Linked DNA regions of Tamandua tetradactyla. The protein of the gene in region 3 interacts with the protein of the main gene of each other region in a pairwise test. Links are inferred from orthologs where the notes say so. Each region holds a gene or a part of one and is shown on either strand. Other genes may lie near its edges.

Region 1 (3,749 bases), on a different chromosome or scaffold from region 3:
ACCTTCTCTTCACTGTATATGCTCTCCCTGAGGAAACTCATTCATGCCCTTGGCTTTCTCTACTACTGTACCTTAGTATCTCCCAAATCTGTCTCCAACCCAGACTACTCTGACTAAATGTTTCTGACACCTCAGACCCTCCATATCCAAAGCCAGACTCATCATGACCTTACTCTCCAAACCTGTTTCTCATTCTCCAGGTTTCCTTTACTCCATGAAATGTACGTAGTCCACCCAGCCACTCAAATCAGAAACTTGTCATCTTTTCCCTTCCCCTCTGCAGTCAAATAATCTCCATGATCCTAATCTACCCCTTCCTTTCCATGGCTATTGCCACTGCCCTAGTTCAGACCTCATTTTCTGGACAAAAACAGTCCTCTTATCAGTATTCTCCCTCCAGTCCATGCTGATTATTTTTTTATGTTTCTAGCTAGTAAACCCCAACCTATCACTCACCTTAGAATCTGCCTATGAATTTGTATCAGCTACTATTTCATAGTCTGACTGGAAATATCTCTTCTGCTGGGTTTCTATCCATAGAAAATTAGGAAACAAAGGTAAATAGGTTTCTTTTTTAGTGGTTCTTGACTTTATCCAAGCCTTTAATACATTAATAAGTGTCCCGACTCTTAAGTGGGAGCTGAAGAAAAGAGCTTTTCTTAATTTGACTAGTGAAGCTTTTTCTTCACTGAACAGATAACAGAACTAGTCTTCCAAAACATTCATTCTGGCAAATGGTGGTCTAAACGTTAAAATTAAAGGCACATAAGGCCTTCCATATCTTAGTGTTTTGGGTCAAGAGGTGCCACACCCCCACTCCAGCTTAATTCTCTATGACAACCTCCCCACATAACACACACAAACAGCCTTACTCCAACACTGAGTTTTCTGCCATTTTCCAAATGTAACACACTATCTCCTCATACCACATAACTCCTCATACCACATAACTTAGGCAGGTGTTGCTCTAGTTTACCCTTTCTCATCTTTTAAGATCCAGCCCATCACCATCTCCCCTAAGAAACCTTTTCCTTAGTCTCATGTTCTCCCAACCACCCAGAGCTCCTTTCTATCACCCTCTGTTGTAACTGTCTATTTCTCTGTCTGGATCCCTCAGTAGATACTAAACTTTCATGTGAGAAATGACTCAGCCTGAAGTCATTTCCAAGGCTACAGAATGAATATAAAAATCATACTATGCAACAGGCCCCATCTGCTGGGCCCCTTATTCTTATATGACCCTTTACAGAAGCCTAACGTGTAGCTCTTCTGGTAGCCTCTAGCCACATCTGGATACTGAGCACTTAAAATGTGGCTAGGCCAAATTGAGATGTGCTAAAATTGTAAAACACACGCCACGTTTCAAAAGGTTAATACTAAAAAAAAAAAAGGGGGAGTAAAATTTCTTAATACTGTTTCATTTGACAGAAATATTTTTAATATTCTGAGTTGAATAAAATATATTATTAACTTCAACTGCTTCTTTATATTTTATTAATGTGGCTGCTAAAAATTTTAAATGACAAGATTTGGCTCACATATACTTCTACTGGACACCGCTGGAGTAAATACTTATATACTCATTTTAGGAACTAAGAAACCGAGTCCCAGAGAATTGGAATGATTTGTCCAGAGAATATGAGTCAGTGGCATGGCCAACATGATACTCGAACCCAAGATTCTAACTCTAAGCCTTTATTCATTCCACCTCGCACTCCGGTACAAAATGACAATTGCCCAGGAGAAAGTGCCGACTTTTCCAGGAGTGAGCGGCTCTTCTCCACGCTTCCACATAAACACGTCCGAACGCCTCACATTCACTCACCATTGCGGATGAAGTACTCCTCTACGGCACCCCCCAGCCACTCAGCCTTCTCCTGGCTGTGCACGCCCCCGAAGCCATTCTCCACGGCGATCTGCAAACACAGGCCCGATCCCACCACGTCAGCAAGGGCGCCGGCCTGGAGTGGGGTGGGGGCTCGCCACTTACACCGCCCAGCTAAACCTCGGGCGCCTCGCCTGGCCGACTCCTGTTCTGCCCCAAGCCCTAATCTTTATCCCATCCTGGCCTCACTCACCTGCAAGGCCGGCCAGGCCTCCAACGCCGCGCGAATGCCGGCCGCAAAAAGTGTTCGCGAATCCTCCCTACCACCAGCCATCACCTTGGGACCACGTGATACCCAGGCCGCCCAATGTCTTCCGCGCCGGCCCAGGCAGAATGAGCGGAAGGCCGATGCGGAAACTAGAAAGTTGCTTTTCCGCTGACCTGGCAACAAGGCTAGAACAATAGAAAAGCCTATCAGAGCGAATGATGACAAACCACGTTACTCCCCAGTGATAATTAACTAGAAGAATGCCAGGAGTGGAGGATGGTTGGGGCTAGCTTCCCGGCTGGTGGATACTGTGCAGGGAGGCTTTATTAAAGATACAGATTCCGGGGTCCCAGGGCAGAGGAATCAACCTCTAGGAGCTCAGCCTAAGGAATTTACATTTTTAAAAAAGTCTTAACATCTGTAGGATACTGTGCTCAACAACAGCAGAATATGCATATTTCTGAAGGGCACATGGAACATTCTCCAGGGTAGACCGTAAGCTAGAGCTTAAGCAGCCCTAATAAATTTTAAAAGATTGAAATCATACAAAGTATGTGCTCCCACCACAATGGAATGAAATTAGAACCCAATAACAGAAAGGAATTTGGAAAATTCACAAATATGTGGAAATTAACATAGTCCTAAATAACCCGTGGATCAAAGAAGAAATCACAAGGGAAAGTATACCTTGAGATGAATGAAATAAAAACCACACATAACAAAACTTACGGGATGGTAGATAAAGCAATGCCTAGAGGGGAATTTATTTTATTGTTGTAAATATCCATATTAAAAGAGGAAAAAGATTTCAAATCAATAACCCTAATCATCCACCTTAGGAAACTAGAAAAAGAAAGTAAACACAAACAAGAAGGAAATTATAAAGATTGAAGTAGAAATAAACGAACGGACAATAGAATAAGAAAACAGAAAATCAATGAAACCATAAGTTGGTTCTTTGAAAATTTCAACAAAATTTGCAAACTTTTAGCTAGTCTCACCAAGGAAAAAAAAGAGAGGAGATTCAAACTACCAAAATCAGGAACGATAAGAAAGAGATTGCTACCAACCCTAAAAGAATAAAAGGGAATACTATGAACAACTGTATGCCAACAAAATAGGTAATTTATAGGAAATGGACAAATTCCTAGAAATACCAAAATACCAAAACTAACTCAAGAGGAAATGGAAAATCTGAATAGACATATAACAAATAAATACTGAGTTAGTAATTTTAAAAACTTCTGACAAAGAAAAACTGAGGCAGAAATGGATTCACTGGTGAATTGTACCAAACATACTGCAAGAGTGGTTCAAGTATGAAAACCAATTATTATCATGCACTATATAAATAGAATAGAAGAGGAGAAACCTATATGACCATGAAAATAGATGAAGAAAAAGCATTTGATAAAATCAAACACCCTTTCATGATAAAAACAATCAACAACTAGAACGAGAAAGGAACGTTTTTAACTCGTTAAAGAGCATTTATAAAAAAAACCACAGCTAAAATAACTTGAAATGATGAAAGACCAAATACCTCCCCCCAAGATCAGGAACAAGACAAGGGTGGGTGATCTCATCACTTCTGTTCAATATTGCACTGGAGTTCTAGCCAGGCCAATTAGGCAAGAAAAAGAAATACAAAGTAGC
Region 2 (3,749 bases), on a different chromosome or scaffold from region 3:
CTCTTCCCCCTCCCTAGCCCCAATTTTTACAAACACACCCATCCTTGCTTCATTCTCTGTGATCCCAAGTATAAGGTGCTCCTTCTCCTATTCAAAGGTCAATTGTTTCACCTCTGTCCTGGACCCCATTATCTCCTAAATCTCACTCCACCATACCTTCACCTAACTCTACTGGCTCTTTCATCTTAGACTCACTCCCAAGTTTTCTCCATTCTGAAGAAACAAAGTAAAGCTTTCCCTTTATCCTTTGTCCTCCTCTATCTACTATCCAACTTCCATGTTTTTTAAATGAAAACTTTCCAGAAAAGTCTACACTGCCTGTCTCTGCCTTACTACTTCCCAGTCAGTCCTATAATCACTGCAATCTGGCTCCTACATTCCCCATCCATAGAAACCAACTGCTCTTGCCTAAGGCCACCTCCCATTTCCAAAATTAAATAGAGGTTTTTAGGGTTCTCATCTGATTTGGCCTCTTTGCTGTGCTAGATAGGCCATATCTTCTTTCTTGAAGCTTTCTGGTCTCTCTGGCCTCTGGGACACCACTCTACTGCATTCCTTGTACCTGGTTGCCTCTTTCTCTGCCTGCTCCAGGATCACAGCCTCTGCCCTCTGCTTTTCTTATTCTGTAAACTCTCCATGGTAATCTCATACACTCTCATATATCATCTATATGTTAAAAACTCCTCAAACTACATGTATAGCTTATACCTCTCCTTTGGACTCAAATATCCAACTACCTCCTGACAAAGTCTCTACTTAGATATCCCACAGACACCCCAAATTTAACATATCTAAAAGCAAACTCATCAACTTCAACCCTGCTCTAGTATTCTTGATTTTTGTTTGCAGAACTAGCATCAAGTTAGAAATCCAATCCAGAAAACTGAAAACTATCCCTGGTCCCTCCCCATTGCCATCCAATAAGTCACCAGTCTAACCTATTTCACATCCTAAATATTTATAGAATTTGTTTTCTTCTCTATTTCAGTCACTACCTTAGCTCAGGCTACCCTCATCTCTCACCAGGACCATTGCTGCCATCTCCTCACTCTTAACCACTGCTCTTTGCACTGTGTATGATTTAATTTCTGTCACTATCTTCATTCTCACTACTCACCATCTGTCCTGAGTTTTTGCTCCAGCAACACTGTAAGGCACACACCAGACTGTTTCTCATCTCAGTGCTTCTCCTGATGAACCCTCTGTCAGGAAGGCTCTGCCTTACCCTCTACCGCCTATTTGGGCCTGCCTAACTAAGCACTTCCTTAGTTTTCATAATATCCCGTACGCATCTCTCAGCACTGCATTCAGCACAATACTTTATGATTACTATGCGTCTTCCTTCCCCACTATTTTGGGAGATAAGATTATTATTTTTTTGCAGAACAAATAAGTCTTATTTATTTTTTTAAAACTTGGTATTTCCATATCTGCGAGCAGTATAATAAATTTACAATTACGTTAGGAAACATTTCCCCATATATTTCTATCTCATTTTCTTAATACATTTCAGAGCTATTATATTTAAATCTATAGAAGTTAATGAAGCTCCTTGATGTATTTTCCCCTTTTCAAACTATGGAGCAGCCCCAATCCCAATCAATGCTTCTAATTAGTCTCCTCTCTATATTGCTTCATCTGCCTCTTTTTTCCCCCCATGTGTCTTATTTTTATATCCTCAGCGTTTAGCATGGCGCTTGACACATTTCTGTTCAATGGATGAATGAGCCTTTTCCCGATGATAGGCACATCATTCCGTAAGCATTAGAGGGAACTTTACGGAACGCGATCAATGCGGACTCGGGTTGATTGCTGACTTCTGATAAGATTACATTTAGAGCCCCAATAACCCCTTGATATAGTCTCCTGTCATCACCTCCGAGGAACCATCTTCATCGGCTTCTATTACCTATCAGGACAGTACCTGCATCGTACCCCAAGTGTTTCTACAACTCCAGAAGGCCCTCCCGCCACTTGTCTTCTCAGCCTCACTGGTGCCGCTCCGGACACAATCTATGGCAGCTCTACGGGTCCTCGGCCACTAGCTGCCTTTGTCCCGACGGACCTTGGGGTTTGCATGTCCGCTCCCTCCACTCGCTCCTCACACGCCCAGATTCTCCCTTTTTGGTCTGGCCGCTCTACCTTTCCCTCCTTTTCCAGAACCGCTTTTTCCTTTCGGCGGCATCTTCGAAACTTGCTGATGAACTCTCGACCGTTCAGGTTGCCGTACAAAGCCCCTTAGGACCTCATGGGCATGTCCTAAACAATGCCGGAAAGCAGCATCGCAATTGGCCATTTTTATCGCGGCTCCGGAAACAGGCACAGCCTAGGGCAGGCCCAGTCCTTTGGCCCTCTGACCAATGAGCCTGAAGAGGTCTGACCAATGAGAAGCTTGGATCCGAGTAGGGGGCGGACCCAAAAGTAGAATCGTGGCAGGCAAACTCCGCCTTGGCGATTTTTGTTATGTCTTTCTCACAGCTTTGTTTGCATCAGTTTCCTCGCTCCCCCGCCCCCCATCTCCCCGCCGGAGTAGTGAAGCAGCAGTCCCTAAGCGCCAGGTATGGGTTGTACGGTGAGGCTGCCAGACAAAACGAGAGCGAGAAGAGGCAACGTGGTAGTCCCCTTGTCCCACTCGCTGTCACACAAAGACCTACCCTCCCTTGAGGTTTTTCGGTTTTCAGTTTTAGTTTGCAGCTGTAGCCGATTGGGTCCAAAAGGTAATTTTTCAAAAAGTCTATCACCCTTGCAGAACTCTGTAATGGAGAAAAATTGGAAACAGTCTAAACGTCCCTCAGTAGGGTTCTGCTTAAATAAATGTTTCAGCCATACAAAATGATACCACGTGCCATTTAAAATAGTGATTGTAAGGTAGTGTGTACAGATATGCCCTTAAGGAAGGTACAGACCAAGTTATAGAATATGATTCCGTTTTTTTTAAAGTATGTAATGTACTATATAATACCTGCATATAAAAGACAGAAAGGTTCTACAGCAAAATATGACCAGTGGTGCTAGTACAGAGATGGTTGTATATTCTTCTGTGTATTTTTCAACCTTTCTATAATGGTGCAGCATAATGTAGAAGTGAAGCTGGACAACCCTGGGAGTTCTCAGAAGAATCGAGACCTCAGCCAAGGGCTTGCGCATGAGGGTTCTTGACTCAGTCTCAGGAAAGAATGTAAGGACTAGTCAATGTGTACAGACAAATAGTTTAATAAGTTCGATGCCGGAGCACCCCGGGAAATTCGTAGAGAAATCTAGACCCTGAGCAAGGGCTGATGCCGTGAAGGTTCTTGACTCAGCAGCATGAAAGAACTTGAGGACTAGTCAGTATGTACAGCCAAAGAATCCAAAGACTAGCCAGTGGTTAAACGTTAATGCTCAGCAAAGGTACCTGCTTGAAGATGAGCGCAGGCATTTTCCAAAGGATAAGCAGTTTGAGGTCGAGATCCTTGCATTGTAAGATCTTGGAGGGGCCCTTCCCCCTTTGGCTATGCTAATAAGGGATTGATGAGATGCACTTTTCATCTGTTCTTTTCAGGTGCCCACCTAAGTGAGGGCTAGGTATGTGCGCACTAAAAGGAACTTTTTGTTATGGGGCTTAGGATCACGTCCCCCTTCCTCCTTCCCTATCTAACCAGCTTCAGAAGTTTGAATTCCTGGAGCCAGGCTGCCTGGCTTCAAATCCTGTACCAACTATTTTACTAGCTCTGTGACCTTGGGGTAGTGTCCTCACCTCTCTATGGCTC
Region 3 (3,749 bases):
AGGTTTCTACAAAGATACAACAACAACAACAAAAATACAGAAAAAGAACTCTGCTCACATCATTACAGCAGTGATGAGGGAGAGGAAAGTTTAGAATTTGGCCCCTGAATAACTCAAACTGAATCAAATGTATCCCTAGATGGAGACCAGCTCCTTTACCTCCTCACGGACACAGAATGATACATTTATCATTATGTCTTCTTTGCTCTAACACTTCTCTCACTAAATAGTCTTCTGATATGAAATTTGGTTTCCTGAATGGATATCACCACTAGGAAAGGAAGGTCCATTATGGGCAAGTGATCTATTTAAATATCGCATGTAAATCACTTTCCTGTGAAGTGGTTAGCAAAAACCTGGAGATGAAAAATCTGAATTATCAAATCTGCCAGGTTGAGGCCCATACCCAAGAACAAGAGAGCACCTGCAGAACCATAATCTATTCATCCTTTTAGCATGATTGCAATATCCAGGACTGGGGTGCCAGGGTAATGAGAGATGAGTATCCATCAGCAGCAGTGGCTCTCTTGTCCTGGAAGTCAATGTATGGCCTCAGCAGTCACTTGTAAGTCCAGTGGGCAGTGGCCCAGCCCTGGCCCTTGCATAGGTCCCGATGGCGAAGGAAATAGGCATGGACTCGGAACCGACGACCACAGTGGGGACAGGCATACAGCGCTCCAGCATGGGTCTTCATGTGCTCTGTCAGATGGTGCTTCAGTTTAAAGCGCTTGTTGCAGATGCCACAGCCAAAGGGCCTAAGGCTGAAGGTCAGCATGATGTGCCGGTCACGCTTTGGCTTCACTGCAAACCGTTTCCCACACAAGCAACCAAAGCATTTTCCATCTGCAGGGGGTGCTCCCCCTAGCTTCACAGGCCCATGTACAGCCTGTCCTGCTCCCCCAGGTCCTCCACCTCTTGACAGGATTTCATTCCCATGAAGATCCACTGGTTTCCAGGATGGGCTCCCTCCCCCAGATGCTGTCCCTGCTCCTGAGGGCAGTAAGAACCCTAGCTCCCTGTCCCCTTCAGGGAACACTTTGGTCTCCTCTTTTGCTCCTCCAGACTGAGTTCCACCTCCTGATACCTCCTCCTTAGGCTCAAAAGGTTCCTGCTTAATGTAGAAGATTTTGGGGGGCAGCACAGTAGGAGGGGCAGGAGGCTCAGTCGGTGCACTCTCACCCTCTGGAAGCCTGTGTGGAGTAACAGCTATGGGCAGTGGGTGGGATCCATGAGAGTGGGGAAACCCCCCTGATACTCTCTGAGGTTGAGTCTGAGAGAGTGCTGCTGATCCCTGGTCCTCATCTTCTTCTTCCTCTTCTTCCTCCTCCTCTTCCTTCACTTGAATCTGTAACACCTCTCCCAGTTCACTTCCCTCCCCTCCCACAGGGCTATCTGTAGAAGCAGTGGACTGCACCATGGTCTGGAAAGGAGGAGAACGAATGCACCAGCCTCCTGGAGAGGATGTGGTGGAAAGAAGGGTGTGGTAGGGGGTCACTCCATGGCCTGAAATTCCATTACCTGAGGTTTCTAGTTCTCTAAGAATCTCTGAGCACTGATCTACTACTTGCCACATCTGGAGTCCACTGGCCACAAGGAGGTGGGCAGGGAGGGCATGGAGTGGCAGATGGAGGCGCCCTGAGTAAATGAGCTGGAGCAGCCCCTCAAAGGCATCTGCTTCAATGACACTAGGCAAGGTGAGGCGTGGTGCATCCCCCAGAAGCAGCTTGTCATGGAAGTAAGGAGAAGCAGCAGCCAACACTGCTTTGTGGGCCCTAAGTTCTCGACCCTGTACCATGAGGGACACATCACAGAACTTCCCTTCCAGTCGGTGTCGATTCAGGGATTCCAGCAGCGACGAGCTATGCTGAGGGAACTCGATCTGGATTGTCCGTGGGGCTGGGTTGAAGATCGGGGAGGTAGGCACAGGAGGCCAAGGCGTCGATGTATCCATGGCCTCCTCGAAAAGAGAGATCCTAGAGGATCAGGAAGAGGAGATGGGGACTGGGGATAGACCCCAGGGCGGATACAGGCTGTGGAGAAACGAGATGGAAGTTACAGAAGCCCTGGATAAGGGGAACCACGTCTTCTCAAACAACCGCCCCCCCCCCCAAATTTGGAAACTTTTCCATCAGCGGTGGTTTCCGCAGATCAGTTCTGCGCCCTTCCCCACCAATAAAACAAAAACAAAACACCATCACCAAGCAAAAACCGGGGTTTTAACTTCCAGAGCCCGCGGAAACTGAGGAGGAGGAAGTCCCTGACCTCACCTGTTCCGGACCACTCCTACCCCGCTTCTCCGTTCCCCCTCACGATGCTCCAGAGAAGGGCTGCCGGGAGGCCACCGTCACCGAGAGACCGCAGGGCACCACCAGACTGCCTTCCCCGCCGACACGCCCCCGCCGTTGAACACTCAGGGTAGACACCCCAGCACCTCCCCAGCTCCAGCGCCTTCCCGGGCCGGAAGCCACCGCCTTCCCGCTGGACGCCGACGCCGGGCGGGACTAGAGCCGCAGCCGGAGCCGCAGCCAATCGGAGGCCGGTAGTCTACAAGCTTGTGGTTGATTGGCTGCCCAGGTGAGAAAGGCGTTGCTTGGAGCTTGGAGCCTGGAGCCCGGGCGTTTTGGGGGACAGCGGGATGCTGCTGACCTCTCCGCCACTCCGGGAGGTCGGGAAGCCAGGAACGAAGGGGCGAACTGTAAGTCGTCCCGGAAAGCTGCGTTTCCCGGCTAGTAAGTGTAGCGCCCGCCTCTCCCCCGCCGGTAGGTGCCCATGGGGGCGAGGCTAATTGAGCGCCTGCTGTGGGCCAGCACCTTCCCTCATCACCTCGCATCCACCCAACAGCCCCGCAAAGTAGGCATTGCGGTCCTCAGCTTCCAGGAGAGGAAAACCGAAGCTAAGTCTCTCGCCTGATAAATGGTGGGCCTGGGATGGGAACCCATATTTGCTAACGAACCAGACTTTCCTCGTATGGCATAGGAGTATTATAACCGACAATTAAACCTTATTTGCAAGAATTACCTTTTGAAATTAGATATATGTAGATATAGACTTGGAATCCTTTAGATAATGCCGCTCTATCCCGGCCTCTTCGCTTCTTTCCTAAGTGGAGCAGTGGGTGCGGGGAGAGCTAGACTGAGGAGATTTGGCTTGTCCCTGCAAAACCCCTGCTCTCGATAACAGCATGGAATAAATCTCCTCGCTGGTTTGGGAGTGATATTTTTTGAGGGCTGTAGCATCACGGAGGGGTAGATGGCCATTCTCCCAGGCTGTCAGCCTACTTTAAAAATGAAGATCGCACTGGTCGGTCTGGAGGTCCCAGCCTATGAAAGGCACCACAGCGATAAAAGAACGATCTCCGTTTATTAAACATGATTTTTCTGTTTCACCACACACTCCAGAAAAAAAGGAAATGAGGCTGGGAGTTGAGAAAAAGGGACAGTGGTGGGAGTTAGAGAAGTTTGGGAGTTGGATTGGGAGGGAGAACGAGAAAACAAAATAAAACAGGTAGGAAGAGCAGCTCCCTACCCTTGGTGGGTTGGGTGGGGACAAAAGGGAGGGCCAGGAAGCTCTGTACAGAGGAGTTGCCCCCAGCCCACACACACACACACACCCCGGATATGTACAGTACAAACCCCAGATAATTACAACAGCCAAAGAGGAGAGGAAGAAAGAGGTCCAGGGGTAGGGGCCTGAGGTGGGGAAAGCAGAGGAAAGGGCACAGGGATAAAATTTCACATATTTACAACTTT

Evidence for each region.
Region 1: the proteins of ZBTB9 (region 3) and TSR2 interact in binary tests that used the Homo sapiens proteins (3 or more experiments, as listed by UniProt). The two-hybrid records come from large-scale screens. The link is inferred for Tamandua tetradactyla from reciprocal best matches to the Homo sapiens genes ZBTB9 and TSR2.
Region 2: the proteins of ZBTB9 (region 3) and PIN4 interact in binary tests that used the Homo sapiens proteins (3 or more experiments, as listed by UniProt). The two-hybrid records come from large-scale screens. The link is inferred for Tamandua tetradactyla from reciprocal best matches to the Homo sapiens genes ZBTB9 and PIN4.

The regions. Positions count from the first base shown.
Region 1 is NC_135353.1:114,273,048-114,276,796, forward strand, and holds the start of TSR2 (pre-rRNA-processing protein TSR2 homolog), read right to left. Parts: upstream 2,200-3,749; 5' UTR 2,160-2,199; coding exon 2,079-2,159; intron 1,917-2,078; coding exon 1,826-1,916; intron 1-1,825. UniProt on the Homo sapiens protein: May be involved in 20S pre-rRNA processing.
Region 2 is NC_135353.1:99,189,592-99,193,340, forward strand, and holds the start of PIN4 (peptidyl-prolyl cis-trans isomerase NIMA-interacting 4), read right to left. Parts: upstream 2,275-3,749; 5' UTR 2,186-2,274; coding exon 2,143-2,185; intron 1-2,142.
Region 3 is NC_135331.1:89,436,053-89,439,801, reverse strand, and holds the start of ZBTB9 (zinc finger and BTB domain-containing protein 9), read right to left. Parts: upstream 2,452-3,749; 5' UTR 2,268-2,451; intron 2,031-2,267; 5' UTR 1,952-2,030; coding exon 560-1,951; 3' UTR 1-559. UniProt on the Homo sapiens protein: May be involved in transcriptional regulation.